Linked DNA regions of Oreochromis niloticus. The protein of the gene in region 3 purifies or fractionates together with the protein of the main gene of each other region. This does not show direct contact. Links are inferred from orthologs where the notes say so. Each region holds a gene or a part of one and is shown on either strand. Other genes may lie near its edges.

Evidence for each region.
Region 1: the proteins of beta-galactoside-binding lectin (region 3) and met purify together in Homo sapiens (affinity purification with mass spectrometry; 3 studies listed by BioGRID and IntAct, with this or other methods). This does not show direct contact. The link is inferred for Oreochromis niloticus from reciprocal best matches to the Homo sapiens genes LGALS1 and MET.
Region 2: the proteins of beta-galactoside-binding lectin (region 3) and itga4 purify together in Homo sapiens (affinity purification with mass spectrometry; 3 studies listed by BioGRID and IntAct, with this or other methods). This does not show direct contact. The link is inferred for Oreochromis niloticus from reciprocal best matches to the Homo sapiens genes LGALS1 and ITGA4.

Annotation. Positions count from the first base shown.
Region 1 is NC_031972.2:41,332,845-41,343,511, forward strand, and holds the start of met (hepatocyte growth factor receptor), read right to left. Parts: upstream 4,525-10,667; 5' UTR 4,204-4,524; intron 2,683-4,203; 5' UTR 2,682-2,682; coding exon 1,476-2,681; intron 1-1,475. UniProt on the Homo sapiens protein: Receptor tyrosine kinase that transduces signals from the extracellular matrix into the cytoplasm by binding to hepatocyte growth factor/HGF ligand. Regulates many physiological processes including proliferation, scattering, morphogenesis and survival.
Region 2 is NC_031987.2:23,930,614-23,941,170, reverse strand, and holds the start of itga4 (integrin alpha-4), read right to left. Parts: upstream 4,800-10,557; 5' UTR 4,413-4,799; intron 3,003-4,412; 5' UTR 2,990-3,002; coding exon 2,817-2,989; intron 2,398-2,816; coding exon 2,279-2,397; intron 2,054-2,278; coding exon 1,953-2,053; intron 699-1,952; coding exon 566-698; intron 1-565. UniProt on the Homo sapiens protein: Integrins alpha-4/beta-1 (VLA-4) and alpha-4/beta-7 are receptors for fibronectin. They recognize one or more domains within the alternatively spliced CS-1 and CS-5 regions of fibronectin. They are also receptors for VCAM1.
Region 3 is NC_031969.2:16,230,968-16,241,240, reverse strand, and holds beta-galactoside-binding lectin, read right to left. Parts: upstream 5,073-10,273; 5' UTR 4,946-5,072; coding exon 4,937-4,945; intron 2,284-4,936; coding exon 2,204-2,283; intron 1,715-2,203; coding exon 1,543-1,714; intron 1,294-1,542; coding exon 1,147-1,293; 3' UTR 835-1,146; downstream 1-834. UniProt on the Homo sapiens protein: Lectin that binds beta-galactoside and a wide array of complex carbohydrates. Plays a role in regulating apoptosis, cell proliferation and cell differentiation. Inhibits CD45 protein phosphatase activity and therefore the dephosphorylation of Lyn kinase.

The DNA.
Region 1 (10,667 bases), on a different chromosome or scaffold from region 3:
CATTATGGGGATGTTATTCTGACTTATGCCACCAACCTGAAAATTGCTGCAGAGCAAAGCATCTCCTAACTTGACAACTGCACTCTGTGACAGTAGCAACCTCTCTGAGCAGGAAATGTGCTTAACCACCAAACCTTCTCAGTATTGACTTGAAGAACAGAGCAAAGGGCCCAGGGCCCACAGCATCAGGCAGATGTTTTTAAATGTTGATCCAATCAACATGCAATGAAAATGTAATTGTATTTAATACTTCGGTCTTTTTCAATATAATGACTGAAACTATAAACTCTCTCATGGAAAGATCCACACTGATCTTTTGCTGTTCAACATTTTCTGTTTCTTTCTTATTTTTGCTTATTTTAGAAAATGATGTTTCGTTAGCACACGTTAAGCATATGATGAGTTGGACAGATTGGGCAAGTCAAGAACGTTTGGTGATTTTGGCATTAAAAAAAAAAAATCTACATGGCTGTCTTTGTTTATTATGGATCATCCTCCCAACTTGCTCCAAATGTGGAATGAGTCTTTTGAGATGACAACAAGCTGTACACTGTTCATCTAATATGCACGTTAACAACTTCAAATTAAAGCTGAAGGTCAGGAATTTTAGCTCGCTGTCATTCTATAATTTCATGTTCAGTGTGCTGGATTACTGAGCCAGAACAATGCGAGAGCTGCCCCTGACCAACAGACTGCACTGTACACCCCTAAAAACAGGTGCCAGAGGTCAAAGTTATGTTTCAGTGTCTTACTCAAGGGCACTTAGACGAGCACAAGTAGATACAACGCCTGTGTGAACCTGAGGCCACCCAGTAACTTACAGTCTCTTCGTCCAACAAACTAAATGGGATTTAGTCTAACAGGTAAAGTCTATAATTCTAAAAGATTAAAATCAGACATCTTTGTAAAACTTCACTGGAACACTTCTAAAACTTCCTTCAGGAAAACTCACTCTAGTCATAAAAAGTGCCAGAAAAATACATGTGAATGCAGCAATAGTCATTGCAGACTTGTACTGGAACATAACTGCAAGAACTATTATATCTTAGAAAGACCAAATATTTGAAACAATACATGGACATTGTTTTGTTTTTTAATTTAAATGGAGAAACGCTATAAAAAGCAAGACAAACATTATTTCCAAATACATTTTTTCTATTTAATGGGATTGTTCTTTTTTCCCCTCAAAGTCTACAACAGGGGTGGGGAACTCCAGGCCTCAAGGGCCTGTGTCCTGCAGGTTTTAGATATCACCCTGGGTCAACACACCTGAATCAAATGATTAGTTCATTACCAGGCCACTTGAGAACTTCATGACATGTTGAGGAGGTCATTTAGCCATTTAAATCGGCTGTGTTGGATCAAGGATGCATCTAAAACCTGCAGGACACCGGCTTTGAGGCCTGGCGTTCCCCCACCCCTGGTCTACAATGACTTTTACTGAACTCTAAGCCCCTCCCACTCCCAACTCTTACCACATTGTAGCAGGACTTCTTGTCTAAACCAGTGAAGTGGTATGGCTCTATGGTGTTGCACTTCTCCATGTAGGTTTTGAACATGCTGTTGATTTGTTTCAGGGCAATCACACAAACCGCTGAATTAGGTGTTGGGTCTTTAGAGTTTGGCTTTCCTTTGGCAAAGGCAGCAAACAGCACATCATCGTCCTCTTCCACCTTCAGGTGCTTCTGGATTTCCGGGTCAATTCCCGCTTTAGTGACATAGGCTGCCTGCAAGATATTAAACACTTTCACACCTGTCCCAGAGCGCCGCCGTCGCCGCCGCTTATCGGTGCTGATGCATTCAAGGGGCATTTCCACGTAGCGACGAATCACAGAGTCTGCGGAGCACATGCGGACTATGCGGGAGTGGTAGGCCTGAGAGTCCTTGCTCACCTGCTGCACGGTCAGGAAGTAGGTGAAGGGTCCACTCTGGAAGGAGTAAACGTAGCGCAGGTAGTAATTTCCACGTAGAGATGGAATCAGGTCCATGTATGATCTGTTTGAGAAGAAAGTAAAACCATTCTGGCTTGTCTTCATTTTCCGCAGAGAAAGGGTGTGGGGATGTTTTGCACTGCTTGAGATGTTTCTTCTGCCGGGAATTTCTGAGTTCCCAACAAAAAATTGGATGACATTGCTCTCCACATTCAGCACTTGGGAGCCCAAAGGGCTGACTACAACATCTGAGTCATCGGGTTGCCCGGTTTCCAGTTTCTTCTTGTCGGCAAAGCAGTAGACTTCTTCATCTACACTTTTTGCGCTCACGCCATCATCCAGGACGTGACGGCGGCAAACACCGTTATCTGCTGAGCCACAGCTGTACAACCCCTTGTCGTAAATGTTCTCCGCCACTAAGGCAATGTTGTGGTTGTCTACTCTTCCACTGCTGCTTGTTCCGTTCAGCTTCTGGCCACAGGTCTCGTTGGCACGCAGCGGACCTGTGTGGTACTCTGACAGCTTTCTCAAGTTTGGGGCCAGGGCATATATTCTGTTTACAGCACCAACATAGATGACTCCATCCAGTATCACCATGTTCTGGATTGGGAATTCTGCGGTAAACGATGGGAGCTCATAGGTGACAGAGAGGTTGAGTTTGGTATCCTCTGATGATCTATCGCACTGGCCCTGCACGCTGGAGCGAATGGCCCACAGCAACATGATGGCATGAAGCAAACAGAGATTCATCCTGTTCCAGAAATAAGAGACACGGGAAATGAATTATTAAAACATCGCTGCTATAACAACAAGCACTAAAGCATTCATCACATGCCTCTCTGAGTAGGTGGCCTTAATTGTGTAGAGTGTGAACTTCTGGGGAAAAGCTCCAGTTTGTGCTGATTTGGAAGATTCAAATCCCTTATTTAGACTCACAAATAGAACTCTGTCAGGCAGTAAAGTCAGGGTTTACTCACATCACCACAAGCAATTAATATAGTCATATTCAAGTCACTGGAGGCTTTTTGGTGACACAGAACTTTGATATCAGTCTTCTTATCATGGACACTTGAACATCTGCCTTCACTGACCACTGGATGAACAAGCAACAAGACTTGGGCGAGCACTTCTGTGGTGCTCTGCTCTGCTCCCATGTGACCACAGCACAAAGCAAAGTAGTGAATCACCCCGAGAGGAGGCCATTCTACACGCTGAAGCAGGCACTGGCCTAAGTTTAGACAGCAAGTACCCAAGGGAGCAAAGATAAACTCAATTAAAACAAAAGAGGTGGGAGGGAGAAGGCAAGGGGCACCTTCCAGCAAAATGATAAATAACCCCACCAACTAAATGGTAATCCACTGGGAGGGGTTTTTTTGGGGGGGGGGCAACAGCCACACCAGAGAGAATTGGCAAAATGCGCATTTTCATGCTCTCTGTCTGGATGTGTCTTCATACACACAGAGCCAGGCTGTAAACCAAAACAAGCCAATAACATGCTGCACAGTTAGTTTTGGTTTTATATTCATGCCCATAGCTATGCATAAGTTCATTCAGAACCCCCCAGTGTGCGCTATCTGCCTGATTTATATCGATGTCTGAATAGTACGAGCTCATTTGCTATTGTAGAGCAAGTCTGGGGGAGAAAACTCAGCTTTCAGATGCAACATATGTTTCACGGAGAAGATTTTCACACAGACAGCACTAACAGGTGCTTGAAGGCAGAAAACATAAAGCGGTACTCATACATGTTAAAAACGGAATAACACAGCAGGATGACGATAGTGTGCCAAAGAAAATAAGCATTAAACAATGTAGGATTCTATTATAAAACATTCTCATCCCAGGACAGGGTCAAGAGAAGCAAAGACTTGCTTTTTATCTGTTATGAGTAATTGGGGGCACATTAGTGTGCACCTGCACCAAACACAAAAAGATCACAACCTCTAAGCATGACTGTTTCTTTCTCTCTCTCTTTTTTTTTTCAAAAGACAAAAGGCGAGGTGGAAAACAGTGAAAATGTTTTCAGTTTGAAAGGAAAGTGAGTCATGGCTAGAGGCTCAGAAAACACAAATGGGAAGTTGGTGAAATGGTGTGAGGAGCCAGAAAAAACATTTCCAAACAGGCTGCGATATACAGAGCAGGGGGAGGAGAGGGTCAGGGTCCACGCTGCGTTTTTACGCATGAATATACAGTATATACATGAATATACAGAACATACAAAAAAAAAAAAAAAAAAAAAGCCCGAAACTAGCGGAGCTGGAAACAAACTTACCTGCTTTTCTGTTATTGAGCAACAGTGCGGTACGTCTTGTTGATTCAAATCATATTCCGCTGGACAATCACTCAAGACTGAGACTTTCTCAATAAATCCAGAGTGACCCGGGATTCTTCTTTTCGCTTCTTGGTGAAACAAATAAACCCCCTGCAAAGTTTTTTTTTTTTTCTTCCAATCTAGTTTTAAACCCTTCGGTTTTAGTCAAGCCCGTGGACCTGCTGTTGCTGAAACGCGTGGGACTCAACTCTGGCTGCATCCAGCAGAGAGACCCGCTCACATCTCAGTTCCTCCCGTGGTGCGCAATGCCCCGCCTCCTTTCCTCCACTGGAGCTGCGTGCGGCTCTTCAGGTGCTGCAGAAACTAATCGGTCTATCACTATAAGGCAATGCAGACATGTAAGAAAGAGCTGTTAAACTAAGAATTAACGACGTGTTCGAGCTAAGAATATCAAGCACTAATAAAATAGTTATAATTGTGCATTATTATTGTCTTGTGTCTTCATACAACCTACATTTGTTTAATGCCAGCTCTTGTGCACTAAAGGAATAGCACATTCTTTACAGCCAACATATATATTTTGTAAAATCCATGTTTCCTTTTTGCTTCTTGGGACTAAAAAAAACGATATTAAACCAATTTAAAACTGCACACTTAGATTCTCTGATACTACATTGCCTGATAGTAAAACAAAGACAACGTGAACAAAACTCTTTCTAGAAGAAGAGTTCTTTCTTTTTCAACTTCCACCTGACTCTCCTCCAGAACCCCTCTGAGTCAGAGCGCCGGTCGTCGTGTTAAAACTAAGCCATGAATAATGAGCTAAGTTAAAATAAAGGCTAAACCTACTGTGTGTGTGTGTGTGTGTGTCAGCAATGAATCACAGTGGGCAGCTCAAAAAATTCCTTTGTCCCACTTCCTGAAAGGAGGGCATTCGGACTGGAGACTGGAAAGCCTGAAAACAGAGAGTGTGTATGCAGAATTAATAGTTTGGAATCTGCTGTGGATCTGCACAGGTGGTGGCTTTTTGCACTCACTGCACAGTGAGCTAATAGATGGGGAAGAATGTATTACAGTGGTGGAATTTGTGACATTTTCAGTGTTAAACTGGATTTACAGCTCTTTCAAGGATGTCAGTTATGAAAAGTAACGTGACAGAGTAATAGTTTCCTCCATCCTCCTAATTTTCTCAGTTTTCAACAGTAAACCTTCCTCCTTGATTTCCCAGAGGACAACATGGTTATCTCTGACAACACACTAGAGAGCAATTAACCTGTCAATGTGCATCATTCATTGACTATTTCTTGTCAAAGGAGGAAAAACTCATAAAGCAACAAAATCCTAAATAACATATACATGACACAGTTCTAAAAAGAGTTCAAAGTTAAAACTGAGAACACCAATTATACAAGTAGAGCATAAAAAATGGACAGCGCAACGTTTGATGCTTTGCGTACAAAATCAAAGCTTTAGGTTGACAGTTTCTGGTTTTATTTTGTGGTGAGCTATTTCACGCACTAACATAATGAAGCTAGAAATCTTAGCAAGATTTATGTGTAATTAGGATCAAGTTTCAGTTCAGCTCAGCTGTTTTAGTACCTTCTGTTGTGCATGAGAAGATAGAAAGGTTTTAGTCTCACATGCAAGACTGTTTCTCATACACTCCTTGGCTTGCTGTAGCCAATGTTTGATGGAGCAACTGTGTTTTGCCATACCTTGGGGCATTTCTGATGTGCTTGGCAAGGGGTGTGTCCGACACAGGGCGTGTGCATTTGTGTGAGTGTATACCCCTGGGGTGTGTCTGTGTGGCTCCTGTGGTGGTGAACTCTGTTTTGGCTCATGTTCTTGTCGTGCTGGGTAGCAGTAGAAGACGATGATGGAAAAGCTCGGTCTGGTGGTGAACCACGGTCACACACAGAGTTTGGAAACCTCAGTGTATGACGTGCACTGCAGGAATGATCTGCATCTGCACCCACAGCACCTGCAACACAACAACTAAGTTCTATTTTCTGTTCATGTGTTCCAGGCTGCACTATGGCTGAGATCAAAACATGAAAGTGAAGAGAAAAACTGACCCTTTTGCTGGTTTAAAGGAGTGTGGAGAAAAAAGTGTTTCTGTCTTCATGTCTTGACAGGTCTCCAGTGCACAAAGCTGTACTTATTGCGAAATGTCAGTGGTACACCTCTGTAAGTGTGGAAGAATTAGAGCCAAGTCCACAGCCATGGTTACAAACTCTGATGGAAAACCTTGAAAAAACAATTTTGGTGTTAGACCAGCAAATCTGAGCCTTCTTCAACAAGGGCTGCAATGTTTGGACGTCAACAAACCTATGACCATATGGGGGAAAAAATTCTGCAGGGCTGGAAACTGCTAAAGTCGAGTAAAAAAAAAGAACATATTTTTTTGTTTGCCAATTTTGATTGCACTAAACCATTTAAAATCTATTTCATCTATTTCAATCCATTTCAGTCAGTATATCTGACTTATTATGACGCCATCTGCTGGTACTTGAAGCAAACAGGCGTCTTTTCTTAAAGCATGAATTGACCGCACTGCCAGAATAATTTACAAGCTACTGAATGGAAACTAAAGGGAATAATCTCATAGACAAAAGCGAGAGACTACCAGGGAGGTGGATCATTCTTCTGCACCTAAATATAGTTCAGTGGAGGTTATTTATCACCTGCACAGTCAATAAAAACCCTGGTTCAGCACTGATCAGGACAGTAAACTCTGATTGATGCTGTTGACCCATCAAAGGTCCCTGTTTCATTCTCCAGATGGAATGTTTACCTCTCTGAGTTCTTTACCTCATGGAGAAGAGCTGTGATTAAGTGTGTGCCGCTTTGATCACTCAGTTGATCAGAGGGATCATTCATAAAAGAAAGCAACAGAGCAGTTCATTACAGGTTGAATGAACTCAGGGCATAATTCTTAGTTCAGCATGTTGATGCCTGAAAAAACACTAGAGTGGAATTTGTCTTGCTTCTGTTCTTAAAAATCTCACATCTTGTCACCCTATTTGTCTGTATGTACTTACATTAGTGCATTGTATGGCTAATTATGATCAGCTTGGAAAACCCTGCACAGTGCTATAAAGGCTCTTCCTTCATGTGTGTTAGAATATCAGTCTAACACACATAAATCTTACATATGTTACATACATAGCATATTACAATAATATCATTGCACCATGAGCCTAAGCAATATGGCACACGGATTTATTTTCAGTCTGCAGAAAATAAATAAGCAGACTGCTTTAAAAGATGCCAGGAAAACAAATTATTTTAAGGCGGTTAATTATCACCCTGATACTTTAAAGTGTGTTTTTTTGTTAATCAAATCCAGTTACTATTAGAAAGAGAAGATATTGCACAGTATCGCTTTTAACGCTTTGCTTTCTTCTACAAACACTGGTCTTGCTCATTGTTAGTCATATTGTTTCCTGTCTAAAATGAACCTTTAGTCAGCCTTTGGTTACAGTGCTTCCTCACCAGCTATCAAACCCCAGTGCTGGAGGTCCAGACTCCAGATTTTCAAATATAGAGAGAGACAGATCTGGGCCCTCATCTTCCACTACCCGTCTCTCAGATATAAGGGTTGTTAATGAAAAAGGAAATCAAAAGATTAAAATCTCACACATCATAGGAAATGGTTCTCGCAACAGATGGGCAGGACTGCCAGTCAATAAGCCGTGTTCTATATCTGTATCTGCCAATCTGTCTCACCATGGATGGAGTCAGAACATAGCTCATATCCACACACACTAAAAGCCATCAGTGCAGGTAAGAAAATAATGAAGGAAAAGGAAATAAGCATGCCCAGTGTCTTCAAAATTTAAACCACGTAGTTCATCAATTTTTCTACTGCGTACAAAACAAACAAAAAACTTTGTTGATTTAAAATGTTTGCATCCTTAAGACATGCTCAGATTTAAGTCTGGAAACAATCAAGAATGACTTAAAATATACAAGTGCAACATTTTAAATCCCTTCAGTATGATATCTCCTACGTCTATAAATGATTACAAAAAATCCTCTCTTTCTCTGCTTAAGTAGTTTGACTCTACTTTTAAATTCTCACTCTCCTTATTCTTTTTTTGCAAGTAGTTTCTACAATACAGTCGAATTAGATTGCAAAATTCGTCTGTTTGCAAATTTCTCTGTTTTCATCTCCATTTCTGCTGTGTCACACTCTTCTTAAACAGTTTATAGAATGATTCAAGAGCTCTTACTCTCCCACCCTGGTTGTTTATGTGTGGAAGCTTTGACTAAAATAAACTATACTTAAGAGCACGTGAAACTGCAGCAGAGCTTCTGGACTTCATGCTGCATGTCCATTTGCTTTGTTCGTTTTGATTTGTTTTTGTGGTTTGCACTTCAGGGCCACCGTAGGGGGGGTTTGCAAAAATTTATTTGAAAGCTAAAAATGTGCAAACTTTAGTGGTAATTCATTTGGTAGACTGCTTTACGTGATTCTACATCCAGCTTATCTTTGTGCTTTAGTGCCTGAATGAACAAAAAGTACTTAAGTCTGCTTCAGACAAATTCTTAGATGAGGATAGTGCACACTTTTGACAGTTTTTAAGATAACAATAGGGTTTCAAATCAAAATGTTTTTGTTTGCATTACAACCTTCTGCTTTACAAATGGGATAATATATTTATATTATCTAGCACACAATTTGTCGTTCTTCTTGCACTATATATGTAATCCTGATACATAGTGTAGATTACCTAAAACTGCCTAAAATGACTTCATATGTTTTTCATGTGTAAGTGCTCAATATTCAGTTTGTGAAAGCTCTACAGTGCATGGTAAGAATTATTGTAAGAAGAAAACATACAGAAATGTGGTTACTGATAAAATAAACAGATAAATGCTAGCATAAACGATTTGCGGAGTTCCCCAAGGTTCAATGTTAGGCCTGGTATTATTTTCTTTATGTTCGCTTTTGGTGAAATCACACTAAAACTCTTGCTTTTCATTTCAGTGCAGATGATATCCAGTTGCATCTCAATCCCAATAATACCTCTGACCTCTCCCACATTTTTTCTTTTTTCTAATGGCTTAATCTTTGAATATCACATTAGCAAGCATTTGTGTTTTAAAGAGGCTGAAGTTGTCACATATGTATTTGTGTCATTACAACTGGTACATGTGACTCAGTAGTTACCCTACAGATATAATTAAGCACAGAATTACAGCCAGTTAAAAAAGACTAGAGGACTATAGCTTAACAGTCAGATCCATTAAATGTAAAACTCAGACTTTACAATGACAATCTTCTTGTAAATCATATTTGAGAAAAACAAACAAACAAAAGTATCCCTTATTCAGTAAACACTTCTGTGCTTTTCTTGTGTGTGATTGCACATTTTTTTAATTGAATCTTATTTTATCTTCTTGCTTTGTCCTCCCCTTCACAACATTGGCTATATAAGCTCCTGTACCAGTAGTTGTTAGTATAACTGTTCAGGATATATCAAGACCAGTTCCAAGGATACCATGTTTTCTCAGTGTTTGATTGACAGGTAATTACTGAGAAGTACAAAAATATCAAAGAAGAAGGTATGCATGGCATAAACGAAGATGCCCTGGATTCAACTTGTAAGCTTTAATGGATCAAGTTATGTTTTCTTAAGAGCTATGCTCAGATGTCTAAGTGACGTATCGTTTCAAATAGTGCAGTCACTGACTTATAGAGACCAGGTGTGCTGGAGTGAGGAACATCTGTAACAAGCTTTTGTGGTTGAGTGGGTGGTTCTCTGCCAGGCTTTTTCTTGCTTGATGTCATAGCATGCTTCATCAGTTTCAGCATTCACTGCAGCAACAGCTGACAGAGCATAAGGCCAAAAAACAACTCAAATTCCTCCTGTGAAAAAAATTATACGTGTTTTTTCCCTTTGTGTGTGTGTGAAGTCTTGTTTTCATTCAAGAATGGCTACAAAGGAACTTCTGTAAACTCACTGACCATGGCAAAATTAGGAGGCTCGAGGGAATATGTTCTCTACAGGGCAATAAAGGGGATCAAATAGAGCGTTCCATTAAAATACAGTATGAGTGTCTCGTTTTTCTAACATATGGGGCTCAGAAACCATCAGAGATGCCGCAGCAACTGCCACACATATAAAAACGATGTTGATCAAATTGAGTGATATTTTATTAAATTAAAGCTCATCTTTAAAAAAAAAAACAAAAACAGATTTTTGTCTTTTGGACAGACAAATTTGACACCCTACAGGCAATCAGCCTGAGAGCTCATGTATGAGGTTGGGGCAAACCAGGACAGTAGCAGCTTCCCCGAGGAGTTGTTTGCTGAACACACACGAGGAGAGAACACAGAGGATGGTGTTTACGATTTGACCTGATTTATAAAAACCCTCTGAAATTTGTTTCAGCTCCAGATGTCTGTTAACAGTTCAGGACAGCAGTGAAATCTAGACAAATGTACATTCAGTCAC
Region 2 (10,557 bases), on a different chromosome or scaffold from region 3:
TGTAATTTCTTTGAGCATTGCACGGTCTGACCTTGGAGTGCATTTGCTGGAGCGTCCACTCCTGGGAAGTCTGACAGCTGTCATGAATGTTTTCCACTTGTGAATAAACTCTCTCAGTGTAATAATAAATGAACCCTTCCCCGACTGATGGGCAGCTTCTCTAAAATCATTGCTGATGTCTTTTCTCCTGAGCATTGTGCTGCTGCTCCAGACCAGCAAACTGCCAACGTTTAATGCATCTGGCTCTTAATTACCTTCTTAATTCCTATAAAATCAGGACTGTGTCTGTGTTTTGACCTAATAGCTGTTAAATGAATAATATCACTGTGTCATTTTAAGACCTGCCACTTTATTTGTATTATGTCCTGATATGTAAAACCACAGAACTGTCAGCAGGTGAGTTTCGTTTTACTATGACAACTGTATGTTTGTGAGCTTTATTGACATCATGGAGTTCTGTAGTTCTTTACCCTGTTCTACAAAAGGTTGCTAGGTCAAAAAGTTGTTCTCTCTAGTAGGAAGAGAGGAATAAGTGTAACCATTAGAGCAGCATGTGTGTGTGTACCTCTGTAACAGGGGATCATAGCGTTGTAAGTTTTCATGTCGCTGCCAAAACGATAACACACCCCATTGGGAAGCTTGTTGTTCTGACCATCTTTCTTTGAGTAGAAGACGTTCTTCCAGCGGTGACCACAGGCCTGAAAACACACACACACACACGCACAAACAACATGTGACATGCACTCATTACTAAGTCACACGTTGGCAGCAGAGTGTTGTTGTTCCCATGACCTAAGTCACTGTAACAGAAACTCTGTGTGTGTGTGTGTGTGTGTGTGTGTGTGTGTGTGTGTGTGTGTGTGTTGAACATTATCATTGTATGTTTCTTTGCTTATTTCCCCCCCTGTGCAACACAGACGATCACAGGAGACACTCGGTGTTGTAAATACTTTCTCAATCACATCACTGCCTCCACTGTGTGTAACAGAAATGCCTTCAGGCTTTTCAAATGTTGCTGTCTGTTGTGCAAATGTTTCAGGCTTTCTAAGTGACTGACCTGCTGTTTAATGACTGCTGACTCTTTGTCCTAAAGCTGGAAGTAAAATGCATTTTTGTTTAAAAAAAAATAAGAGTCCATAACCACTGAGTTTGTTTGTGACACTGTGCTAATGTGCGTTTACTGTTTCTCTACAGTGACCCTGCACCGTGGATTAGTTTCTTTGAGTTCTCTAACTCCCTCTTTTTGCTTCATGTTGTGAGTCATAATGGAGTAAAACAGGGAGTGCAAGAGATATTCATTTGTCACTATAATAAAAAAGAGACACATCCCTAAGTGTGTGAGATCTGCTGATGGCTCAGTGAGCACTGAATTGTGGACATCATTGCTAATGTTACTAATCTAGTCTGATTACCTACCACTTTCCCAGCAACAAACAAACCTAACAGCACAATAGCTCCTCTGAAATGCTTATACAGAGAGACGGATTTTACATAACCAGCACTAAAAGGGATTTCCATAAAAATTGTTAAAAAAAAAAACTTTTTTAGGTTATATATTATATGATGTGGACCATGCCTTCAAAGCACACCACCAACCATCGCTAGCCCTGAAATGTTAAGCACTGCAAACTCTTATCTGCTGGCATTTACAGTCTTTCAGATGGTGTCTGTCTTTTATGACATGCTGGCCTACCTCACTGGAAATACCAAAAGTTTACAGCTTTTCTGAACAGCCACACTGTAAAACGGAGGGAAAAACCACTCTTCACCCAGAATGGTGAACTGCATTTCGTTAAAACTTGCGATTTGTCTGACAGAACTGCCACAACGGCCATGTTGAGGAAACTGCTGAACCAATGAAGATGATAAAACTAAGAAAACTGTGTTTAGTGTCGCTCACAAAGCATTAATAACATGGGGGGGGGAGCACAGAGAGAGTGTGTGTGCGTTACCAGGATGTGTCCTCCTTCCTTTTCAGGTTGTCTGGATAAACTGACGCCCATCCACTGGTGATCACGCTCGGCTTCACACGTCTTTCCACACCGAGTCACATCTGCATACACATGGATACGTGGTTGACTGTCAGCATATCACCTTCACTCACCTTATATAGCATCTACAGTACATCCAGACTTATTAAATATATGTGTTTATAACACTAGCACACTAATGGATGTTTTGGCTGAACTTGCATCTCTCATCTGAGTTTCATCTCCATCAACAGCTGGAGTAATGCAGGGGGAAAAGACTAAACACAAAGGCTGACAAAAACACACACCAGCAGTCATGTGGTGGCATTCCCGGGGTCCAACAGCAGCGATGCTGCAGCGGAGAACAGCTCCTGGAGACACTGAACCATCGAAGGATGTGTTTGCGACTGGCGCTCCAACAACTAACCTAAAAGAGGGAAAGAGAGGCATTTAGCACTGGTTTTGTCTTTGTCTCAAGTATCTAAATGGCATCTGTGTGTGAAGCATCAAAGAGCTGCTCTCATTGGCAAGAACTGGCTAACTGGTGTGGGCACACACACACAAAGTGATACTGTGTGAAGATGGCAGCTTACGGAGCATTACTATGGTAATTAAATCAATTAGAATAAGACTGTAAGAACAGCTGTGAGTTGTTTTACAATTTAAAGTGCATGAGTGAGGTTATTACTAGCATGTAGCATTCTTTGAAATGTAGTTTACGATGATCAACAGCACATCAGTAAACAATCAGTAGTAGATAAACAGATCAAAAGTCAGGGTTAGGGTTGGAGGGGGCTGGGGAGTTGTTAGTAAACCAATAACGTGAATACTAGTAGGGATCCAGACCAGCTCTCTGTGTTGTGGCGATACAGCAGGACTGAGTATCCGAACATGGAGGAAGGCGGGCCTTTAAACTCCAGACTGTGGTCCTGATCCAGACTGTATCCTGCAGCAGGAGGAACCAGGGCCTGAACTAAGACCATGACCAGTGCAGACACACTGGCCGCGGAGACCTTCATGATGGAGGGCAAACTGCAACAAGAAAACAGAGGTTATGCTGAATGAGTACAGGAATTTACATTTTATTGCTACACAGTTGGTCATTGAAGCAAATCTTTAAAGTTTCCTTTAGATTTTTCCCAGATTTTTCTTTTCACAGTTTAGTTGTGTCTGAGTGGGATTTATGTGACGATTGCCCAAAATGTGGCATTCCACAAGTGTGAGGTTATTACCAGCGTTTCCACTGTGGGACATCAGTAATTCATTAAACTGGACTTTATTGAAAAAAGGGGAAATGACTTGTTTGTTGTTGTAATTTCCCAACAAATAACAGAAAATGTATTCTAAAAAAATAAATAAAATCAGCTTTAATTTACTTAATTTATGAGCAATTAATGTCAATCGATACCTGTGATGGAACAAAGTATGTTTAATTCGAGCATGCATCACTTTATTTAACACCACAGTGAGATCAGAGACTACTAGCACGCTAAATATGTCAGCCTGAGTTTTGGCATATGTAAATAAAATAATGCAATCTAATTAAAAGATGAGTTTTTGATGTTTGAATGTTTCACTGAGTCTAGACATGAGATAACCGGGTGATTAAACCAAAAACACCCATACTGATATATATCAACTGTCAGACAGCCTCAGAGTTACTTAGGAGACACACCCCTGTGAAGTACGCTGGTGTCTGGTTTTACATGAAACCACAGGCAGTGGCTGCTTGTATCCAACCACAGACTGAAAGCAGAGGAAATCACTTAATTTGTTCAGGTTAAAGAAAAGTTACATCTACTGTTCCATCAGTATAAAAATCAAAGAGTTTCTGCTGTCTGCTCAGGCTATCAGTTTCCTCTGCTTCCAGCACATATGCAAAGCTCAGCTAACTGTCATCTGGCTGTTTCCTAATCTATACAGCAGGAGAGAGAGTGAGTGAGAGTGCTGCCAATCTTTCTTCTTGTCTAACAGTGAACAAGAAAAAGTCAATCAAGTCGATTTTCCAAAATTGGAGAACTGCCAAATCTATTTTTCATTGTACTTTTGTTTCTCTGGATTTGTTTATTCATCTTAATTTCCTTATTTTAGCCTGTTTGAATCATGGTGGGCTGTGGTTGCTCTTACAGAGTCAAGTACAAAGTGAGCGGTTACACTTTTCTAAATAAACATGAGCTTAATAACAGCTAGTTAAAAACTGTAAGTAATGATCCAGACATTCAAACACACTGTTGTCAAGTTTCCAGACCCCCAAACTTTTGGGTCATATGAAGAGTTATGACTTTACTGCTGCCATTATTACCAGTTTATTTACAGACTCATTGAACAGTTAACACAGAAGTGCTTTTTTCAGCCTGACTCCTTAACCACAGCAGTGTTTGATTCTTCATCAGCTCTATCAGTCATTCACTGTATAAACGGTCCACATTTCGGTTACTGTACCGCTCAGACAGCAGAAAGCCTACCCCGGGTCAGACAGCTGTTATCCCGGGTCAGACAGGTCCAGGGACTGCCGGTGACAGACTCAGGAGAACCGCAGCGCGTCAAAGAAGTCTCCGTTAAATCCACCTTATTATTCCCCGCGGGTCTCGCTCGTGCGTAAATCCTCCTGTTGCTCCTCAAGTCTCCTAAAGAGTCTCGTGCGTGCACCGGCTTCGCACGAGACTTGTAGGTTCTTATTCGGGCAAACACGTGCAACACGAAAGAAGAACTAAGACGATAGAGTCTGAATGTTAAAAACAGAAAAAACACAGTGAAAACATGAGTTGAGCAGAGTTTCACATGGAGTCAATGAAACTGAGAGATGAGCGCGCGGAGACCCTCCCCTCTCTATTTGCGCGCGTGCGTGTGTAACGGTGTTTCCCCCAAGCCCCGCCTGAGCGCGCGCGGTGTGCGTGTGTGTTAGAGTCGTTTCCTCTTCAGTTGTCACTAAAGTGTGAATGGAGTTAGCGCTGCCATGATCTAATGTGACTGTCTGAACCTCTGTGTCTGAACCGCGCAATGCGCGCAGGAAATATTCAGAAACAGCAAATGTGAGAAGTCCTTCTCTTACAGTATGAAGACAAAAAACACAGCAGTCGTGGCCCTAAAGTTTAAAACAGTCCTTTATTCTAAAAAATCCATCCTCACAACGGATGTTTCTATTGTTTTCATTTGTGAAACACGTGAAGCTTTAAGAATAAAGCACTATTCGGCCTGCAAATTATTTTTTTTTTAAAAGATAACGAGTTTGAATTCGAAAGGTTTTTTTTATCCAAAATTATGAAAATATAAATGAACAGAATAGATACTAGAAATGGTTTAATTAAGTATAAAAAATAAAATATCCACAATATGCATTGTTTCAAGTGCTATTAAAACCCGACTGAATGCAATGAGATGCTCGTAAGACTCACAATAACAATGTAAAAAATATAATCACTATTTGGGATTTGGATCATTTTTGCAGTACAGGTTGTTTTCCTGCCAGAAAATATAACTAAAGCATTAAAAAATAACATTTTTCATTTTTCATATAATGCCGTAATATACAATTCTGAAACAATTTCTACAATACTACTTTTACTTTATAGGTCTGAGTATTTCTTTCTCTGCTGCTGAATTATAACTTCGTATTAGTTTCCTCCAGGCCTCTAACTTAATCTTGAGAATTATAATGAAGCAACACAGGGATTGCAGTGAATGCAAAACTCCTTGTTGTTGTGACATTTGTCACCAAAGTTTTTTGCAGAAAAAAAAAAGACCTGATCTGCTGATCACTCAGTGAGTACAGCAAGAAAACATCTAGTGGACATCATTGCTAACAAGCTTATCTGAATATGTTTCACTTTCCCAGAAGCTTACAAATGTATGTACATAACAGACATAACCATCACTAAAGGGATCTGCATTAAAAATGTGACATCTTCATTACATTTATGAAAAGAGGATGTTACATTTTCCTAATGTACTTTTTGCTTCTATTTAAAGTAGTTTATGTCTGCAGTGTGAGCACAGTGGAATGTCTCAGTCATCATGTGGTCTCTAATTCTGGTCAGCTGACCATCTAAAGTATCGTTAACGCTGTGTTCAGAGAAGCAGCACTTCAGGCAGTGTCCAGTCTTTTTTAAACGCCAAAAAACAAAGAAACAGGTAAATAGCTGAGGTTGATGGCAGTGTTAGTTTTGCAGGATCTTGGTTACAACTAAAATATGGATCCAATGTAGGATAACCAGGATTCACCCTCAGGGAACTCTGTAACAACTCTTATTTGGATTAGCTGTTGGAAATCTGTTATGCTTCATCAAAATGGTGTTTGGAGCCAGCAAAAGCACAAAATGTGTTCAAAAGAATGCACGAAGTCCATCTTTAATCAGGTAACTTACAACAGTACAGATTCTGGTGGTCAGATTAGGATACATATCGAGGGATTCCTTTAAATAGCTGCCAGTTATAGCCTGCTGTTTATAGCATGTGTATATTAAAATGATAAGTGGATGATAGAAAAGCTCTCTCAACAAGAACCTTGTGAAATCATTAGCACAGTTCCTTCTTCAGTAAAGATCAATATTCTCGCACCGGGAGAGCATTAACATGCGGATAATAGTGTGTAGCACTTCTGTAATTCCCCTTTCCAGATTTTTAGCACATCTGTAGACTTTCAGCTTTGTAGTGTTGCCTGTTGGTCACCAAGGGGACAAAAAAGCTCGCCTAAAAAGCAGCCTTTCATCTGATCCATCCGGCTACTCGCTAAAAATAAATAACTACATCAGAAGTACTTTGTGTGACTCCAACTGTTTAATTCACTGTTACTGGACTCAGTAAACAATGACTGCATAAGTAGTGTGAAGTAGTCTGTAGTGATGAACAGCTGGTGTTAGCCATGTTTAGCTGGAGATCGGGTAGTGGTGGGGGGGCAGATTTCCCAGCAAAGTCACTGAAGATCTCCAGCCAGTCTGTGATTCAATCCAGACTTTCAGCCAGTCATGATTAAATAAACCAAAGAAAAGATGAGAGGATATGTTTGCAGAAAGTCATAAACATGAGCAAAAGGCAGCACAAACGTTTTAAGGGAGTACATTAAAACTCATCCTTTAAATTTCTTTAAGTAACAAACTTCTCCTGTTCAGCAGAAAGGAGAACTGGGAAAAACTCGCATAAAATCGGCCTGATTTTGGCCATTCAGATAAAAATAGCTACAGCATGAAAAACAGTTATGGTGGATGTCAGACAGGAACTCGGCTTCACGCACACATACACATTCACATACACATTCACTCAGTGTGTTTGTTGGTATTTCCTGTTAATGACCCTGCAGTTATTATGTAGCAATCTGACGGGCCACTGTTCCCACCCTTCTGCACACTCTGAGAGTCCATACGTTTAAGAAGTAAGAAAGAAAGAAAGTCATGCAAGCTTAAGACAGAATAACTCAGAATAATAAGGTCAGCTAACCTCTACCGGTGGCGGAGTCGGTGGCTGAATCACTGTTACTGTCACACAAAGTGTTATATACATTTAACACTAGTTTGATCTCAAATGCTTATATACTGGTGCATGCTATTTTATGTGCAAAGGTGCATTTAAAGTAGGTTTTGTTAGTGCTTTGACAGACTGGTGAACTGTCTCAACTGAACATCACAAAAACTGGATGGATGGATGGATGGATGGATGGATGGATGGAAGGATGGATTCATACTGACAAGAGTATGGCTACACTATGAGTGCCCAGATGGTGTAACCATAACGGCTGAAACAAAAGGAACTTTGTGCACTCCTCACCAATCTTCACCCTCTGAGTCATGTAGCAACCAATTTTCTGGCAGCGCATACGTCTAGCACCAGAGAGGATGTTGCCTGCTAACAGCACAAGATTTTTATCAGTCACTGAAAGCATGTGGTTTGGGGTTTATCTTCTTCACTAGAGAAGCTTGTGGCTTTATTGGAGCAGAATTGCAGAATCACAATCAAATGCTGAAGCTGCTTGAGTGGAGACAAAACCACTCTGGGAATTAACACTGAATAGGTTAACATCCAGCACACAGAGTAAATTGTGGAGCTAAGTGAAAGCAGAGACAGTCAATAACTTTAACCACATAACTCCAAGGATGTATCATGTTCACACTTCCTTGAAACTTACCAGGGGAAATACTTTTTACCCGTAGGTGTGTTTTCAAATGTGTGCACTTATTCTTTTTTATTTTTTTATTTGTTTTGTAGTCTCAGCCCCATTTCCTCCAGAAGCCTTCATATTTTCTAGGCGGCCTTTGTAAATAAAAACATGTTCTTAATGTCATCGTTACCATGGAATCGTTACCATCTTGTGCTACAAATTGATGCTACAGAAAAGTGCGGCCCTGCTGCATTTTAACTTGAGTAAATATCTCGTCAGCTCAGTGTTTTTTTGACAGTGTTTTTGTTGTAGTGGTTGTCTCTTTAACTTCTGTTGATAGCTTACGTTAATTTTTCTCAGTTTGAGAAAGTAGCTAAACAAAAATTTACAATATGTACCTTTAAGTCCAACCTGAAGACAAAGGCACTGATTAGCATAAAGTATCACGTTCCTTAAGGACAAACTGAACTATCGCTCTTTTTTTTCCTGCAGAGTATCCATGAGAGGGAAAAAATTATTTTAGGAATGTTTTGCCTTCTGGCTGTTGTAGATTAAGACTCATTAGGCACTTTCACCCGTGTTGTTTTCATTTTAAACAAAAACTTATAAATAGACAGTAGAGTCCTCTGTAGGGCTGTTTAGTAATCCGTACATGGTTGGGGTCACATAGGGTCCATGTTACACAATATTTCTGGTAGATAAAGCTGGGAGGATCTCACATAGATAGCAGAGATTTCAAATATCTCAGAAAAGACAGAAATCTTTATTGTAAGCCAGACTGTCTGATAAATGAAGAGGCTGTGCAGAGTTAACTAGTTGCTTTATTTTGAACCGATTCATGTTCTTCAAGTATCTTTTGAGCTCGGGAAGTCATGAAATTAATGACACTGGTTACATTTAAGACATATTTATGCCCAAAGTGATTACTATCAAAAGTAATTTGATAACACGTAAACTGTCCATACAATTTTGTTACATGGAATATAAAATGTTACATTTAATGGACTCTGTAATCTGTAAATGGTATTTACCAAGCAGTGATTAATGAATCTATTAACGTAATCATTACATTGATTTAAATAAACACACTTTTGATTTTATATATCTCTGTTCAAATTTGTTCAAAGTTGTTACTTAATGTTTATGAGGGCAAAGAATCAATTTTTGAGTTTTAGTTTATATAAAAGTTGCTTAAGGTTTGTTTTGGTTTTTTATTACATCAGCAGTGCAGGTGTCACTCTTGTGACTTTTGTCAGCTTCAGCTGAAATCTCGCAATCACTGTTTTCTGCACAACACCAACTTCCGGAAAAGTTAGGGTGTTGTGCAAAAAAATAAAAAAAAGAATCCGCTCTCACATTTTATTCACAATAGTACATATCAAGTGTTTAAACTGAGACAATGTACAATTAGAGAGGCAGAGTTTCTCAGAAGTAAACGAAGGTAGAGTTTTGTCAATCTGCAAAAATCATCAACAAATTGTAGAACAATTTTACAATAATGTTTGATAAATTGAAGAAGAACAAACTGCAGTTTGGGGGTGGGGGTCTGAACAACCAGTGTTTGTGAGTTGTACTGTGCAAATATGAGAAATTCAGGGCTCAACATACCTGCTGTACCAGGGGTGGATCTCTTTTTTTTTAGATCTGCCACTGTGCTGTACCTAGTTTGATTGACATTTATATACTGCTGGCTCTCACATGACTGATGCAATAGACACAAGTAACAGGTTTCTGTGCGAAGTTTAAAGTTGTTATCCCAACAGTATCTGTCCCATTGAAGAGGAGGTGAATTGTTCTGATACTTCTCAGACGATAAGGACGAACAGCAGAATAAGATGTGAATGAAGCAATAATGTGTTATCAATTTGACAAAAATGCACTGCAAACACACGCAACACATCCAAATACGGAAACTCACAACACAACAGGAAGGCACTTCATTCAGCCCAGAGGACAACACAATGTCCTTCCAGGGGTCACAACAAAGTGATGTACCTGGCTGGAGTTCAGTGCTTTGTGACTATAACACAGCCGCTGGTGAGCAGTGTATTTAACTTAACGTTTTTTGTGTTGCCTGAAAATGTTTCCATTTGTGCAACTTGTTTTTGGTTGTGTTTATTTGAACCACATGTGTTCACAAACTGATGAAGAGGTTTTCCTGATTCACTTTGTGTTTGGTTAAGTTGCAGTGCAATGAGCTCTCTGGCTCTCTGTGTTTCAGTACTCTTTACTGAAACGGGGTCTTACATACCTGCTGTACCAGAGGCCTGAATGGCCTTTTAACCATTTCTAACTCATTTGTAGCATACCACAGCACTGCTTTTGATACCATAGACCTTATCCATGCCTTTGTTACATCGAGGTTAGATTATTGTAATTCCCTTTATACTGGTCTCCATTCTGCCCTTATTCATAAACTGCAGCTTGTTCAAAATGCGGCTGCGCGTCTCTTAACTGGAACTGGCAGGTTTGAGTCTATTACTCCAGTTCTTTCCG
Region 3 (10,273 bases):
CTTCTAGATCCGCCCCTGACCTTTTGCTGTGTTTCAGACCAAAAGTCCAAAATAATTATTGCAATTATTCATTTTAAATTATTAAAATTAGCTATTAAAATCGTCTTCCATTACATACACAGTAGTTCAGGAGTGCTAAAGGCTAATTACAGCATAATAGCCTATCAGATTACCAGCCATGCTGCTCTACTCAGAGGTGCTGATCAAAGTTGTAATTATATGAACGACCCCCTCACTGGTATTGGTCCACTATACCAGTGAGGGGGTATAGTGGACGCTACTGGTGAAAACACACGGTTATCAACTCCCACCTTGTTAATATTCAGTGGGTGTGAAGAAGGTTTATAATACGGCAGTGAGGACAGTGTTTATTTGTTGTAGTGGTTATACATGGCTATATAATAAATCCCAACATTTGCACAATGTTCTCCTTATTTTCAGTTTCACATAAAAATATAAATCTGTGGATGTTTTGTGTTTATGCCTTATGTAAAACCACGCATGGTGTTGCGTCAATGTTTTTCTTCAAAAATAGGTGTTGTAAAATCAAACTAGACCCAGACCCTACTGTGACACATGAAATATTGGCTATATGTAAGGGTTAAATTACAGAGCCCGGCACTGGCTGTGTATCACCTATAAAGTAATTTCACAGGGAAAGGATGAAAGGTGTTGCAGAACAAATATAAGAAGTCACCAGAGTCATTTTTTTTTTCATAAAAGAAAATTCTTTAATTGATGTTTTTGCAGGTAAGAATTAAAAAGTGGAATGTCTTGTGGAGCATTTCGAGACACATTAAAGAAACCTGACCACACTGTACTGTATATGAATCCTGCAAGCAAAAAACTGCAAACAGAAAAATAACTTTCTTTAACTGCTTTAAAACTACTCATGGTAGAGTTCCAGAAAAGGGTGTTCAGGTTTAGAGCTAAAGATTATAATTTGTAAGGCTCCTTTTTTATGACTATAGCTGTTTGGACCGCTCTCTCAACAAACTCATATCCTGTAAACTATGACAATCTGTGATAAAGGTTAAAGGTTAACAAGGAAGCTGAAGACCTAGGACTTTATATTACCTGCTGCTAGACAAACAAAAAAAGAACATTTTTCACATCCAGGTATGAGAAATGAGAAACGATGGCGCTTTACTTGATGTCAATGGTTTGAATGCGAGCATCCCCATCAAAGTTTAGGGCCGAGTATTTCTCTGCACCGACGCGGTTGGGGAAACGGAATGTTGAGCCATCTTGTAAAGTCACCACAAACTCTGAAGGAGTGAATTCAATGGAGATCTAAAAGGTATTATCAGTGAGAGAGACAGACAGACAAAGGAATCAAATATTGTAATAGATGTGATGTATAACGATCAAGGTCTCACAGATGAGTGTGCAGTATCAAATAATGAAGTTATCAAAGATGCAGTGGCACTTATTTTCCACCAGAGGTCACTCTCAGAGAGAGGCACTATACAGACTAAAGAGGAAGCTAATAGACTACATATGACCCATGCAAGGCTAAACTATACACACACATTCTCACACCTTGAACTCCTGTCCCAGGGAGAAAGGAAAACTTTGCTCGCGTTGCTCCTGACACCAACTGCCTCCCTCGAAAGAGTTGCAGACAATTATATTTGAGTCTCCATGGGCACTGAAACGAGGGTTGAGATGAAATGCAATTGTGTCCTCGCCGGGGCCGATATTCACAGCAAAACTGCAATGTACAGACATGTGACAAACCTCATTTACTTTAAATAAGTAGCTCAGTCTAATCCTAATGGGGAATTTGAAACAGAAATAAGCATAGTAAGTAAAATATAAGGGGAAGAAGAACAACAATCAAGCATGTTTCACGGCTTAAAACCGCATTTACCTTAGATTACTGACTCACTTAATGTCTCATAGTCAATTTCAAATAGAAGTAACTAAGTCAAGTTCAGGAAGATAAATGACATGTTCCATAGCTTTATATCTGATGGTTCAGCTACTTTAAAGAGACAGCTAACACAGACAAAATCTAATTTACTCATTTTTTTAGCCAATAACATTAGCTATCAGTTTTTGCACTAAATGATAAATACAGCGATAACGACACCCTGTCAAGAATTTATTTTGTTGAATATTGATTGAAGATTTTTCTAACTTTACTGTGATTCATTCATTTACAAAATCATGACACAGCTCGTCCTTAATCAATACTTACTCTCCAGCCTCAGGTTTGGTGACTCCAACAACAGTCATGGTTTGTCCAACCTTGAAGGACATGTTCTTTACAAACACACCCTGTTCAAAAAAGAAGGCAAGTTTGGTGATACAGTGTATTATTGTCTAGTAATACTACTGACTTTTATTAGATCCAATTATTATTACAGCTTCAGGCAAAAAACAGCACTGGCTATAGTCTCGGCCAATTCTCCAGTCCTCACTTTATCCCTAGAAATTGCAGAACATGTGTTTTCAGTTATATCCCCATTGACTGGCTGGTCAAATATTCCAGCTCTTTCTTGTCCTGAGGTTGCCAGGGACATTTTTCTGTATGCCGATTTTGGCAGAGACTGAATGTTGAAAAATGATGAGGGACAACTGTTAAACTGAGTCAAATTTTCCTCAGTGCAATACTAGATACCGGGAGTGGAAAAACACTAAGCTTAGCAGAAATTCAGTTCCTGCTGTACATGTGGCAGGAAAATACTGGTTTGTGTAACAATTAGGAAATTGTAATTGTTCTAATGGGGAATTTGAAACAGAAAAAGGGAAGGGGAAGAAGAGCAACAATCAAGCACGTTTCACGGCTTAAAACCGCATTTACCTTAGATTACTGACTCAATTAAATTCTCATAGTCAATTTCAAATAGAAGTAACTTTAGCTTTATTTCTGAAGGTTCAGCTACTTTGAAGAGACAGCTTACACAGATATAATTTACCACTAAAGTCAAATTGTACAAGTGCACAAGTCCTTAAAAGAGTAATCTAAAGATGTAGGTTATCAGATAAGTCTGTTAGACTCTCCACCTAAATTCCTAATGCAACTTTTATAGATTTTATTTTTTTTATTCATTTGTATTTCTTCACTGCCTGCCTCCATTTCAAGGGACAAGATCAGAAACCCAGACTACTTGTGTGGGTTTTAAACGCTGCAGTTGTTAGAGAAACATCCTAGATACAGTCAACAAGAAACCAAACACTTACTAAAAATAACCATGAATACTTGATCATATTAGATCATGCTAACAATTTTAGATTCGCTTGTGAAGAGACCAAACTTTCCCACTGAACATGACTATGAAGACTTAGTATCTATATTTTGTTGATTAAATAATTTAGATTTCTAGGTTGACAAACTGTCAGGTTGCAATACCTTAGAGCAGTGGTGTCCAACTCCAGGCCTCAAGGGCCGGTGTCCTGCAGATTTTAGATGTGTCCTTGATCCAACACAGCTGATTTAAATTGTTAAATTACTTCCTCAACATGTCTTGAAGTTCTCCAGAGGCCTGGTAATGAACTAATCATTTTATTCCAGTGTATTGACCCAGAGTGATATCTAAAACATGCAGGACACCGGCCATTGAGGCCTGGAGTTGGACATCCCTGCCTTAGAGCAACATTGTTCACCTCAACCTCTTCTTGACAGTGATTCTCAATCCTACAGTTTTCCAAGGACCTCTGCATATTCTGTAACATATGTTCACTGTCAAATTCCAATTAAACCAAATTCTGTTCATCTTAACTTATATGTCACAACCATATCAGAGTTTATTGGTACACAGATAACAGTACTTTCATTTATATCCCTTTTGTAGACACACAAACATGTAATGATCTGCACTTTTCTATAAACAGGCTGAAATCGTGGCACGCCACAGCTCACTGCAAAACATATAATTTATTTAAAGATCAACCAGTGAAAGTAAGGGAGGCATAGTAATGTGAACATTCTTCCTCTGTTAGAAAGTGTGTTTGGCAGCGCAGCTTGCTGTGCTGGACTGGGCTTGTGTCCGAGCTGGCGGTGACGCTGCAGACATTCTGCCTAATGAAGGAATCTGAATAATGTAATGTGTAAGACATGACACTTCACTGAATCTGTCACTGTTGTGATGATGAAATCGAGCTGGCAAGTTATTAAAACAGTAACACGTTACTAGTAATAAAGTCATTATTAAAATAAACTTCACTGAACTGAATGAATAATTGTCATTTCTGTGTGAAATCAACACAAAGTGAAGCTTAACAGTGCCAGAGACATTATTTGAGAGATAATTACACTTCTGCTTAAGGCTTGCACTGTTGTTGACCCCTGTTTGGCTTAGATTTGCAGGATTGTTGGCTCTGTTCTTGTTTCTAGGTTATTACTTTATTTCATTTTATCCCTTAATGTCATTAAAACCATAACACCCCTTTAGCCCAAAAAAGGAAAAACAGACACAAGGTCTTGACTGTATTCTGACTATTTTATCAATTCAGAGATGCTAGAATGCAATGCAGCCTTTGTTCAGCTCTGACACTGGGAAAAAGAGAAGGCGTGACTGAAATGAAAGACTCAAGTGCTATCATGTGTTTATATTACTAAGGCTAACTTTCATGTATAGGCATGACATTGATCTTTTACTATAGATGAGAAAAAGGAAATAACAATTGAGAAGTAAATAATGTAAGCATATGCTCTGTGGTGAATATTTTGACCATAAAAGGTCATCAAAAAATTTGAAACATTAGAACTCCTAACAGGTCAATAAAAACTAAATGCAAACATCCTTTTTAGTTAGTACAGTTTAGCTGATGCAATTACATCAGCCTGGTAAAGATAAAGCTAGGACCAGCTGTCAGTTCAATGCTTAAAATAGGCTTAAGGCCTAAGACTGTCGATATCAGTAAACCAAAGAGTCATATCAAAATCAAAGTAATATAAGTTAACTATTGTTGTCAAATCTTTACTTACATTCATCATCTTGGCAGATGCAGAAGGTTAAGTACAGCTGAGAAGAAATGAAAGTGCTGCAGGGCCTTGCCTCTCTGCACCCCACCAGATGACTCCAGTATATAGAGAGTGGGAGGTGCCTTCAACCTGAGTGACATTTCAAACAGCCAATATAATTGTGCCATTGCTAAACGCCCAAGAGCTGACTCACAGTGAAATTAAAAGCTGTAAATAACTAATTTAGCAGTTAACAAATACTTGCAGATGTTGGTGAAGTGAGGCTAATTAGTGAAAGATCATTTGTTAACACCAAAATGTTACATTTTAACCTGGTGGAGCTGAGCCTGACTGTGAGGGGAACTGCAGACTTGGAGTTAAAAATAGAAGTGTATTTGTTACCAGGGAGACAACTAAATATTTAGCAGAGCCAGCGGTCTTAATGTCCACTTACTGTATATAGCTCAGGGCATACAGTAAGATCAAATGCCGGCATTTGGAATAAATCTGTGGCAAATTCTAGGTAGAGTTGAAATTAAGTGAAATGTTGGAAGTGAGTCAGATCCTCAAAATGATTTGAATGTATGACTCACACTTAGAGCCAGAGTATACTGCCAGCTGCTGAAATACAGAGGACAGCTGCTGTGAGTGCAGCAGGGTGGGTCAGTTCCACACATATCCACTACAATGTATTACAAACTAATGTAATTTAGAGCAATGTCACAGGAACCATTTATCAAGAACTACTTTATTTTACAGTTATCTACTGTTTTTCCCTCTGTAACTACTAATACTAGTCATATTTGCAGTGTAGGGCTGCTCCTTTGCTGATAGAGAAAGAAGTCTTTGATTAAATTGGGCTAATATCTCATCATTTAACAATAAAAACCAAGAGTGGAGTTTCAGAAGGAGTTCTATTGTTATAATATAGGTTCAATTCCAGGCTGAAAAGGTCACTTAAACCTTGAGACCAGTTCCCCTACACTTCACACATTGTAATGGTACACAATAAAAATTACTCCCTGTCCTTTATGACTTCATTCTGGGTCATGTTATTGATTAAACACTTTTTGGCACCCCCACCTCAAAATAATGTTCCGAGTAAAAGTAAAAAGTAAAAAGTACAAAAAGAACGCTTTAAACTAATTTACATAGTCCACACGGTGCAAATGGATAATGATTCAAAGCATATTGCAAAAGCAACCCAACAGTTTATAAAGACAAAGAAAGGAGATATTCTTTAACTGCCAACTCAGTCATCTGATCTCAGCCCTTTAGCGCATACTTTTCAGTTATTAAATAAAAACTGAAGGCAGAAAGATGCGCAAACAAAAAATAAAGACAGCAGCTGCATCAAAGGGTTTCCATCGGTTCTAGCCTTCAGACTGCAAAGGGTTTTTATTCAAGTAATACAAACTATCATCAAAATAACAAAAATGAGAGCTTGATCAGTTAATTCCTAAACAGTTAATGCAATGTGCAGTAAATTAAAACCTGACTGAATGCTAAAATTTCTATAGGAAATAATCTTATCTACTTCTTGAACCATGTGCTCCTGTGACCATGTGTCAGAAAAACACGGTGCTATCTTCAAATGATGCATGATAGGTTCTCACACAGCTTACTGGATGGTCATGGTCTGTGCAGTAGGGGAATTATTTACACTTGTGGTCAAAAGTTTACATACACTCCACTAGGGCAATAATGTTATGATAATTAGGGGCTTTTAATTGTTTCTTTAACTGTTGATTGATTGAATGGTTGCACAAAGGTCACAAGTTGCACCTTGACCAGATGCTTTTGGTAGCCATCAACAAGCTTCTAGCATAATTCTGGATGGATATTTGAGCACTCTTGTTGGCAAAATTGGCAGAGTTCATTTAAACTAACTGGTTTCCTGGCATTAACTCGGCTTTTAAGAGTAGTCTGCAAATTTTCAACAGGGTTGCAACTCGACCTTTGGGAAGACCATTCCAGAAGCTTAATGTTAGCCTGCTTTATCTATTCCAAAACCAGTTTCGATGTGTTTTTGGATCATGTTTTCTATTGCATTGGCTTATACTTGTAAGATTAAAAATTGTTTCCAAAATAGAGTATGTTTGGTCTAAAAAAATACATGTACCATTGGGGGAATGATGGATTTTGTAGAAAGCACCAGTCCATTTACATTCATTGAAAGTATACTGCTAAAAGTTTGCTCTGCAGTTTACCGCAGTTTGACTTAGAGTTACGATACCATTGACTCTGTTCTGATTTCTACATTATTAGTTTATTTGATTTCATCTTTTAATGCAATTTTAGATATTGCACACCTTTTCAAACAAATTTACCCTTGTATCCAAAAAAAGCTCAAATGATACAAGGTCTCTATTGTATTCTGCCTAGTTTAGCAGTCCAAACAGGCCAGAATGCAATCCAGCCATTGTTCAGCTGCAATATTGTGAAGCAAGAAGGTATGACAGAAATTACATAGTGAAATGTTGCATGTATTTATTTCCTTTTCTAACAGAGAACTTTCACATCTATGCATGTTAACGAGAAGACCAGACAGAAAGGCATTTTACCAAACACTTCTATACCACAAGTCTTTCTGGAATGACAGTTATTGCCATTTATTGGATGTCAGATAGAATACAGACTTAAGGCACTTCTGTATTGGCTTTAGCACTGTCAGTGGTTTTTATGTGGGATGGCAGACTCCAGAGCCTTAGGGCAAAACCAGCAAAGACATGGTTACCTTTTGTTCTCTGGCAAGAAAGGGTCACTGACACTGACAGAAACTGGAAGGATGAACTCAGTGACCTCAAGGTAGAATATGGAGTTAAAAGATCTGCAGTATATTATGGAGCCAATAAATGGAGTATTTGAAAACTAATAATACTAAACTTAGAAAATTATTTCACATATAACCAGTGCAACTGAGCAAAAACAGGATAATGTGCTGTCTTTTCTGTGCACCATTAAAAAATCAGTTTTGAACAATCTGTAATCAAGGAAGGGTGAAACTGGACAGTCTTATTTACAGCAAGTTATGGTAATCCAGGTGAAAGGTGACACAGACAGATGGTTCAACATCCTATATATGGAGAAAAAACTCTCAGTTGATTTGATTATTAAAAGACATGAAACTATCCACTGAAACATTAACTAGAGTCTGAATTTATGTGGATAGAATGCCTTAATTAGAATATTTATAGAGCTGGCTGTGCCAAATAAAATAACATCAGTTTTGGTATTGTTTAGTTGAAGGAAGTTCAGCTCATTGAAACAGTCAAAAAGGGTCATCATGAGAACAGTCACTGTCAAGTGTGGCAGGTAGATAAAACTGTGTATCATTCACATAACAGAGATAGACAAATGGTAACATGCGTTTATTTATTTCAGAAATATCAAGGCAATGCATGATGTATGTAACACGTATGATTAAAAACAGAAGAGGAACAAAAATGGATCCTTGTGGGATGCAACAGCTACTGGAAGCCGACTAGCTTCGTCTTTCGATCATGACGTTCCTATATTTGAGGAGGGAAACCAGTGTAAAACGTGACAAGAGTAACTAAAGTAACTAGAGTCCGAATTTATGTGGATAGAATGCCTTAATTAGAATATTCATAGAGCTGGCTGTGCCAAAAAAAATAACTTCAGTTTTGGTATTGTTTAGTTGAAGGAAATAATGTTCTGAGAGCAATAGAAAAATCACAACATCTTTAAGTAAAAAGTACAAAAATAACGCTTTAAACTAATTTACGTAGTCCACACGGTGCAAATGAATAATGATTCAAAGCATATTGCAAAAGCAACCCAACAGTTTATAAAGACAAAGAAAGGAGATATTCTTTAACTGCCAACTCAGTCATCTGATCTCAGCCCTTTAGCGCATACTTTTCAGTTATTAAATAAAAACTGAAGGCAGAAAGATGCGCAAACAAAAAATAAAGACAGCAGCTGCATCAAAGGGTTTCCATCGGTTCTAGCCTTCAGACTGCAAAGGGTTTTTATTCAAGTAATAAAAACTATTACTATATTAACAAAAATGAGAGCTTGATCAGTTAATTCCTAAACAGTTAATGCAATGTGCAGTAAATTAAAACCTGACTGAATGCTAAAATTTCTATAGAAAATAATCTTATCTACTTCTTGAACCATGTGCTCCTGTGACCATGTGTCAGAAAAACACGGTGCTATCTTCAAATGATGCATGATAGGTTCTCACACAGTTTACTGGATGGTCATGGTCTGTGCAGTAGGGGAATTATTTACACTTGTGATCAAAAGTTTACATACACTCCACTAGGGCAATAATGTTATGATAATTAGGGGCTTTTAATTGTTTCTTTAACTGTTGATTGATTGAATGGTTGCGCAAAGGTCACAAGTTGCACCTTGACCAGATGCTTTTGGTAGCCATCAACAAGCTTCTAGCATAATTCTGGATGGATATTTGAGCACTCTTGTTGGCAAAATTGGCAGAGTTCATTTAAACTAACTGGTTTCCTAGCATTAACTCGGCTTTTAAGAGTAGTCTGCAAATTTTCAACAGGGTTGCAACTCGACCTTTGGGAAGACCATTCCAGAAGCTTAATGTTAGCCTGCTTTATCTATTCCAAAACCAGTTTCGATGTGTTTTTGGATCATGTTTTCTATTGCATTGGCTTATACTTGTAAGATTAAAAATTGTTTCCAAAATAGAGTATGTTTGGTCTAAAAAAATACATGTACCATTGGGGGAATGATGGATTTTGTAGAAAGCACCAGTCCATTTACATTCATTGAAAGTATACTGCTAAAAGTTTGCTCTGCAGTTTACCGCAGTTTGACTTAGAATTACAATACCATTGACTCTGTTCTGATTTCTACATTATTAGTTTATTTGATTTCATCTTTTAATGCAATTTTAGATATTGCACACCTTTTCAAAAAAATTTACCCTTGTATCCAAAAATGCTCAAATGATACAAGGTCTCTATTGTATTCTGCCTAGTTTAGCAGTCCAAACAGGCCAGAATGCAATCCAGCCATTGTTCAGCTGCAATATTGTGAAGCAAGAAGGTATGACAGAAATTACATAGTGAAATGTTGCATGTATTTATTTCCTTTTCTAACAGAGAACTTTCACATCTATGCATGTTAACGAGAAGACCAGACAGAAAGGCAAGAAAGGGTCACTGACACTGACAGAAACTGGAAGGATGAACTCAGTGACCTCAAGGTAGAATATGGAGTTAAAAGATCTGCAGTATATTATGGAGCCAATAAATGGAGTATTTGAAAACTAATAATACTAAACTTAGAAAATTATTTCACATATAACCAGTGCAACTGAGCAAAAACAGGATAATGTGCTGTCTTTTCTGTGCACCA